Arabidopsis thaliana: one gene and its partner. The protein of the gene in region 1 binds, or shares a complex with, the protein of each later gene. Each region holds a gene or a part of one and is shown in the gene's direction. Other genes may lie near its edges.

Region 1 (3,751 bases):
ACTCAGAGGACTTAGACATATGCAGCAGTTGCAGATACGGACACAATAGAAACCCATAGGTACTGTATGTAATATTTATCTCTATCACAAAATTTTGAAACCAAAAAAGATTGGCGACAATTTCTAACCTTAATACCAGACAAATATTGCTCCAACAATTCCTTACTAATCTTTGAGAACTTTTGATCTTCCATGTGGAGCAAGACACTGTAATGCTTCCAACAAGAAGAGAGCAGTAGAGCTCCACCCATAGATACCTCTGTGCCTGAAATCCAGGTATTAAACAATGAATTTGAAAAGCAAGAATCAAAAACAGAAACAGAAAACGGAAATGAACAAGGAAAGGCGGCATCAGTCAGAGACCTGCCTCCTTTTGGGAGCCACCATGATGCTCTTTCAACTCCTCTAACCATTTCAGCACTTGACTTAACCCCTTCGCATGCAGTAGTCGAGTTTTTCTGTTCCACTGGAAGGAATCATTTGTCAATATTACTCGACTCAAATCATGGATTACTTCGTCACTTCAAAATTTAGAACACAGCTCAAGCATATTTAGATGGATCAGCGAACATACAGCAAAAAGACATTGTACAAGGCGTGTCAGATCCTCCATGTGGTTCCACAGTATACAATTTGTCTCAATGTTTGAGTCTTCAGGTAGAGAAGTCGGCCTTTTTTTTTTCTCACTAATATTAGGTGTCAAAGCAACAGGTTGATGAGACCCCGTAATGGTTGGTGACTTTGGTCTATTGATCAGAGTATTATCCCTCTTTGCTAAGGCTCCAGTAATTGACAGCAAGCAATCAGCAGCAGAAAGAGAAAGACGAGATGGCACCTCATATCCATCTTGTAAAATACTAAACAAAATAACAACAGCTCAGAACAAAGTGGAAATGACTATGTATGTAAGTGTACAAACTTGCTCCATATAGAACAAAAAATAGAGAGCAGGAGATGATATTTATACCCATTGACAAAGAAGTTTTATACCTTCCATTGCGTACAATCATCAACAAGTGAGGCACACAAGATGAAACAATCTCCACAAACATAGAATGTTTCTCCCTAATTCCTGTCAACAAAAAAATTTATACAAGTACATAAGTAAAGAGAGCGTTTTCTTTCCTTCAATAGAGATAGCCAGATGATTATAATGCTCACCATGCCAAAAACCTTGATCCCCAGTATCCTCACATTCTACAAGACGTCGGATAAGTAAACACCATCCAAGCGCTAAAAACCTGTCCTCGTTCCTCAAAATGATATTCGAAAGATTTCTCGAAACGGCTTGAAAGAGAACTTCATCTTGAAATAGCCAATTTAGAAGTATCATAGCTGGGTTACCATGCTTAGAATCCTTAAACCTTAATGTCTAAAAAACAACAACAAAAGTAGAGAAACCAACACGTAAGAACATACAAGATAAAAGACCGGACATTACAACAATCAAGCAAGGTTTTAACTTTTCACAGGGTTTAAGATATTACATGTTCGATAATGGGTACAAGAATTTCACTCATGGCTTCGTCTCTCTCAGCAGCGTCTATAACGCACTTTTCCAAAAACCAGAGTGCCTCATCGATAGAGCCTAACGAAAACAAACAGATTATAAACCCCAAAAGAGCATGTGTAAACATAAATAAACACAGATTAAGGATAAAATTGAAATTGAAAACAGTTATTACCTGAGACACCCTTTTGAGAATCAGGAGTTAGACGAGAAATAGACTCTCGTAGCTTTTTAGGGCGAGCTGAGAGAAGCGTACTCATGAACCTAGCTACAGTGACGGAGACTAGAGACTCCGGTTCTGATCTTCGTATCAATTCCTCCTCCATTTCCCTCTCAATAATCAGCAATTCCAGGTATTTAATTTATTGCTGATTGAAATTACTCTCTACTCTAATTTGTAGCAATCTCGCGGAGACGACGACGAACAGAAAAAAAAAAAAAAAAAGCCTGAGCTCTGTTTTATTTCCCGCTACAAGATGAAACGACATCGTTTAAGTACAAAAAGAGACAGAACAACAACGTCAGCGTTTTGTATTTCACAAGTACGTCACCGTTTAAACTTAGGGCTAGGACAGCATCTTTGTGTCTACGCTCCACGTGGACATTAATCATTTGTTCATTTTGTTGTTTAACTAAAATCGTCGAAGAAGATCTGAGAGACCATCTCGCTTCAGCTAATTCGCCGCCGCTTCCTCCTTCTCCGGTAAGGTTCAGGAATGGCCACCGTCACATCCAATGCTTCACCTAAATCCTTCTCCTTCACTGTTTCCAATCCTTTCAAAACCCTAATCCCCAACAAATCACCATCTCTCTGTTATCCAACTCGCAACAAGAACCATCACCGTCTAGGTTTCTCGATAAAAGCCACCGTATCAACACCACCTTCAATCGCAACCGGAAATGCACCTTCACCGGATTACAGAGTCGAGATTCTCTCCGAATCTCTACCATTTATCCAAAAATTCCGAGGTAAAACCATAGTTGTCAAATACGGCGGCGCAGCAATGACTTCGCCGGAACTTAAATCCTCCGTCGTAAGCGATCTCGTGCTCCTCGCGTGTGTCGGTCTTCGTCCGATCCTCGTTCACGGTGGTGGTCCTGACATCAACCGTTACCTGAAACAACTCAACATCCCAGCTGAGTTTCGTGACGGACTACGTGTCACCGACGCAACGACGATGGAGATCGTCTCTATGGTTTTAGTCGGAAAGGTCAATAAGAATCTGGTTTCTCTTATTAACGCCGCCGGAGCCACCGCTGTGGGGTTATCAGGACACGACGGTCGTCTTCTCACAGCACGACCTGTTCCCAATTCAGCTCAGTTAGGTTTCGTTGGTGAAGTTGCAAGAGTTGATCCATCTGTGTTACGTCCGCTCGTTGATTATGGTTACATTCCAGTGATTGCCTCTGTTGCTGCTGATGATTCTGGTCAAGCTTACAATATCAATGCAGATACAGTTGCTGGAGAGCTTGCGGCCGCGCTTGGAGCTGAGAAACTGATTCTGCTGACTGATGTGGCTGGAATCTTGGAGAATAAAGAGGATCCAAGTAGTTTGATAAAGGAGATTGATATAAAAGGAGTGAAGAAGATGATTGAAGATGGGAAAGTTGCTGGTGGGATGATTCCTAAAGTGAAGTGTTGTATAAGGTCTCTAGCTCAAGGAGTTAAGACTGCTAGTATTATTGATGGAAGGAGACAACATTCTTTGCTTCATGAGATTATGTCTGATGAAGGAGCTGGAACTATGATTACTGGATAAGTTTGCTGTAATGGGTGATCATCAAAGTTGAGTTTTTTGTATTTGAGAATGCCAATGTTTCTTCATTAGGATGTCAAATATGTGCTTTAAACTTATGATCATTTCTTATATTAGTCTTTAAAAGACAGTTTTTTTCGGTTTACATATGCAACTTTGATGATTATCCTTCGTCTTAAAAAAGTTAGGATTATCTGTTTTAGTAAATCTTCTTCTTTCTCATTTGTTTAGCTCTGTTCTTCTTACATTGTTTATCCAATGTTTGTTCATTAGGATGTCAAATCTGTGCTATGAACTTATGATCATTTCTTATGTTAGTCTTTGAAAAGATTTTTGGCAGTTTTTGTTGTTTGCATCTTAGCATTTGCAGCTTTGTTGTCTCATGAATATCATTCGTCTTAAAAAGTTATATTTTTGGAGACACTAAGCTGTTCTAAGGATAGTTGCTTCTTTTTTCTCATTTGTTTGTTTGTTTAGCTCTGTT
Region 2 (3,751 bases), on another chromosome or scaffold:
TAATCTTTTTACTTTCTTACCCCTGGTCACGTTTTCCACGATGAACAGAAATTATGGAGTAAAGAGTTATTAACTTTGATATATGATTAATTTAAATTGAAAAATGTATGGTTTTATTCTTTATTTAAGGGAATTTAATAATGTATTGGTTTGTGGATTTTGGTTTCACTTAGAAATCTAATTAAAACTATATGTTCTTTTCTAGAACACATTTTTTAATTGAAATACAAATAAACTAGATATAGAAAAATAAATTGGAGGTTATAAGTGGCAATTTAGTCTTTTCTAATACCATTATCTTTCACCACTCCCCTCAATATACATTTCTCCTAAAAACCCTAAATTCCAAAAACAAAAGAAAGAAAAACAAAACTTTCTTCTTCTTCTTCTTCACCATCGAAAAGAGATAATGAACCAAGAAGAAGAAAAAACAGAGAACAAAAGGATCAACGAGATCGATGAAGACGAAGAAGAAGAGTTGGAGAACAAGAAGATGGACATGTTCTTCAATCTCATTAAAAACTACCAGGATGCTAAGAAACGAAGACGACAATACTTAACTCAAGATTCTGGCGACGTTGCTTCGATGCCGACCAAGAGATCCGACTACAGCATTGTTCCTGTATTCCGTGCTGAAGATTTTTCTCACTGTATGGACTTAAACCTAAAGCCATCGAATTCGATTATCTCCACCAAGAACCAAGAAGAAGAGAAGCAAGAAGAAGAAGAAGAAGAAGATGATGAAGAAGAAGAAGATGATGATGAAGGAGAAGAAGAAGTTGAGAAGGTGATGAGAAAAGATAATGGTTTAGATCTTAATCTTGCATTGTAATAATACACTTTGTTTTTTGGTTCTGTTTCGTGAATAAGAAGAAAAAAACTTTCTTAATTACATTATTAAAAGAGTGACATTGCAATTAAACTTAAAGCAGTGAATCATCAAGTCAAGAAGCTGCATGTGAAATTTCCATTGATGAATGTTAGCTTCTCAGCTTTGACGACAGAATCTAGAGGAAGAGGAACGAAGGTTTTGTCTGGACCATAGAAGTGAGGGAAGCTATTTACTTCATCCACAGCTTCATAGATTAATCCATCTCCAAGCTGCCAAATAAAGCACATCAAACAAAAACAAAAATGTCAATCTCTTCTTAGCACTAAAATGTATCCAAAACATCAACGTAGCATAACGATTCAAATGACAATTTTGTAAGAACTTTACATCAATGTCCATGACCATCCTAAGATCATGGTTCTGCTACTTAGATTGTGTTTATCCACAATTGCAGCTTGGTAAGAAAAATGTTTGAAACCCATTTTGTTTTCAAGTGTACAAAATAACACTAAACTTTAGCACAAACCACACATAACCAACTCTAGCTAACTCATACCCACTTTAGCTAACTGCTCCTCTACTTAAACATGGAGCTAATCACGCAATAAACTAACATTTACCAAATCAACCACTCACCAAACTAGAGGATCCCTAACACAAAAATGATCATAAATTTTCTATCCACATATGTTTCAAGTTAAAGGTAAAAGTCAACCTTCTTAGGATCGACTTGAAGAAGGTAAAGATACTCCTTCACATCCACGAAAAAGTTCTTCAATGTCAATTGTACCTAGAAATCAGAGAATCGATTTCATCACAAAAGCAGTAAAAATCTACATAAAAGTAATGATTTTTCACAAGTTCAAACCAAATTGCCTAAGAAAATGAGAAAATTTTCGAGAATCTTCATCACCCAAATGAAAAAGTTGAGATCTTTATGGGAAGAGAGAAAGACCTGATCAAGTTTGCTGAGATGATAATAACAAGTTGATTTATCAATCTCTGCACCATAAGAAGATCCATTCTTCTTAAACTCTTCCCATTCTTGTTCCGTACTGATTCTGTATATGAACTCTTCCTCAGCCATTTTTGTTTCACCTTAACCAGTGTGAGATCGAAAAATCGTAACTTTAAAGCAGACTTGATTCGATTCCATTCCATCAGAGCCACTTCACTAAACCGATCTAAACCGGAAATCAATTTCTGTACTAAACCGGTTTTATTAGCTAAACCGACTCGTCGTCAACTTCGAAGTTCCACTTCCAATAATTACCTCCTTCGTCGTCGCTTTCGATGGTCGAAATCAGTTGGTAAAGAGGAAACTCTGAAAGTTGTGTTAAAAAAAAAACTAGAATCATGGCGGCGTCAATGACGAAACCCATCTCAATAACTTCTCTCGGTTTCTATTCTGATCGAAAGAACATTGCTTTCTCTGATTGCATTTCGATTTGTTCTGGATTCAGACATTCCCGACCATCTTGCCTCGATTTGGTCACAAAGTCACCGAGTAATAACAGTCGTGTTTTACCTGTCGTTAGTGCCCAAATATCTTCTGGTAAGCCAACAGTAATGAGTCTCTGATCCTTTTTTCGATCAATTTGGTTTCTTTTGTGTGTTCATAGCATTTCTCTTTTCATATTTTGTTAGATTATATTCCAGACTCGAAATTTTACAAGGTGGAAGCAATTGTCAGGTAAGCTTCTAATTTTTGTTTTGATGTACCAATCAAAGCTCATAATTGTGACAATGTTGCTTGTTTCTTCTCTGTTCATGTATGAATGTTGGACTGATAAAGACCATGGAGAATCCAGCAAGTTTCATCGGTAAGATTTTCCTTGTTCTCAACTTTGATATGTGAAAAGATTTGAACTTTGCTAATCACTTGAGGTTTCCATTATTACTTGTTATCCATGAAGAGTCTATAGTGTTTTAAATGTGGATTTTGAATACTATAAAACAGAATTTTGAGAAATAAGTAAGAGTAGTAGTTCTTATCGATGCATGCGAAAATCAAATAATGTCAGTGAACTCGACAGGACTGGTCAAATCTTCGTTTCTCTAGTGTTTGAAATGTGAATTTGAATTGAAGGGTTTATGGTTCTCATAGTTATTGTAGATGGTACTTGTTACTTCCTTAGTATATAGAGATGATTATTACACTTTTGAAAAATCCAAAACTAAATCTTGAGTTTCTCTGTTTCATAAATAAATAGGCTTTACTGAAAATCGGGATTCGAGGTGTTACTGTTTCTGATGTGAGAGGGTTTGGTGCACAAGGAGGTTCTACCGAGAGACACGGTGGTACGTCCGTGAATTCAAGAATTGGTTTGATGATTCTTCTTATTGTCAAAATGTGTTCATGACTTTTCTATACACATTGTTGCATTTGCAGGCTCTGAGTTCTCGGAAGACAAATTTGTTGCTAAAGTTAAGATGGAAATCGTTGTTAAGAAAGACCAAGTACGTATATGGTTAAAAAAATCGATACTTCATAAGCGAAATTCGAGTTTGAGCCATTACTTTTTTTTTTCTTGTTGCAGGTGGAATCTGTAATCAACACAATAATTGAAGGAGCAAGGACAGGAGAGATTGGTGATGGCAAGATTTTTGGTAACACAAAAAGTTTTCTTGTTACTCTTTTCACAATCAGATTTATGTTTGATACCTCAAATTGTAAATGCAAAATGAAATTACTCAGATTGTGATTGTTTCTTGTTTGGTTATATACAGTTTTGCCTGTGTCAGATGTCATAAGAGTTAGGACAGGTAAAAACTTCAAAAGCCATATTCTTTTTAAAAGAAAGACACAGATCTTGGCTTGCCTTAAAACGTGTGTACATGTTGATAAAACATTTTCAGGTGAGCGTGGGGAGAAAGCAGAGAAGATGACTGGTGATATGCTTTCACCGTCTTAGGAAC

What was found.
Region 2: the proteins of NAGK (region 1) and GLB1 are in contact, whole or in part, in a crystal structure (PDB 2RD5), measured with the Arabidopsis thaliana proteins. Residues at the interface, in NP_191315.1 of Arabidopsis thaliana: Arg195 (codon at 2,809), Glu208 (codon at 2,848), Val209 (codon at 2,851), Ala210 (codon at 2,854), Arg211 (codon at 2,857), Val212 (codon at 2,860), Glu251 (codon at 2,977), Ala254 (codon at 2,986), Ala255 (codon at 2,989), Ile286 (codon at 3,082), Lys287 (codon at 3,085), Lys290 (codon at 3,094), Ile310 (codon at 3,154), Arg311 (codon at 3,157), Ala314 (codon at 3,166), Gln315 (codon at 3,169), Gly316 (codon at 3,172), Gly347 (codon at 3,265); in NP_192099.1 of Arabidopsis thaliana: Arg82 (codon at 2,524), Trp84 (codon at 2,632), Arg85 (codon at 2,635), Gln88 (codon at 2,644), Arg118 (codon at 3,124), His119 (codon at 3,127), Gly120 (codon at 3,130), Gly121 (codon at 3,133), Ser122 (codon at 3,227), Glu123 (codon at 3,230), Glu153 (codon at 3,400), Thr157 (codon at 3,412), Glu159 (codon at 3,418).

What each region holds. Positions count from the first base shown.
Region 1 is NC_003074.8:21,310,683-21,314,433, reverse strand, and holds NAGK (N-acetyl-l-glutamate kinase), read left to right. Parts: upstream 1-2,055; 5' UTR 2,056-2,226; coding exon 2,227-3,270; 3' UTR 3,271-3,609; downstream 3,610-3,751. Other genes in the region: AT3G57570 (ARM repeat superfamily protein), read right to left, coding at 129-265, 364-466, 575-857, 991-1,072, 1,162-1,372, 1,488-1,588, 1,686-1,836. UniProt on the Arabidopsis thaliana protein: Involved in the arginine biosynthetic pathway via the intermediate compound ornithine.
Region 2 is NC_003075.7:819,548-823,298, forward strand, and holds the start of GLB1 (nitrogen regulatory P-II-like protein), read left to right. Parts: upstream 1-1,998; 5' UTR 1,999-2,188; coding exon 2,189-2,387; intron 2,388-2,479; coding exon 2,480-2,525; intron 2,526-2,627; coding exon 2,628-2,655; intron 2,656-3,045; coding exon 3,046-3,133; intron 3,134-3,224; coding exon 3,225-3,292; intron 3,293-3,372; coding exon 3,373-3,442; intron 3,443-3,562; coding exon 3,563-3,598; intron 3,599-3,691; coding exon 3,692-3,747; 3' UTR 3,748-3,751. Other genes in the region: AT4G01895 (systemic acquired resistance (SAR) regulator protein NIMIN-1-like protein), read left to right, coding at 410-832; AT4G01897 (dihydroorotate dehydrogenase), read right to left, coding at 940-1,101, 1,548-1,622, 1,788-1,919. UniProt on the Arabidopsis thaliana protein: Participates in sensing carbon and organic nitrogen status and regulates some steps of primary carbon and nitrogen metabolism.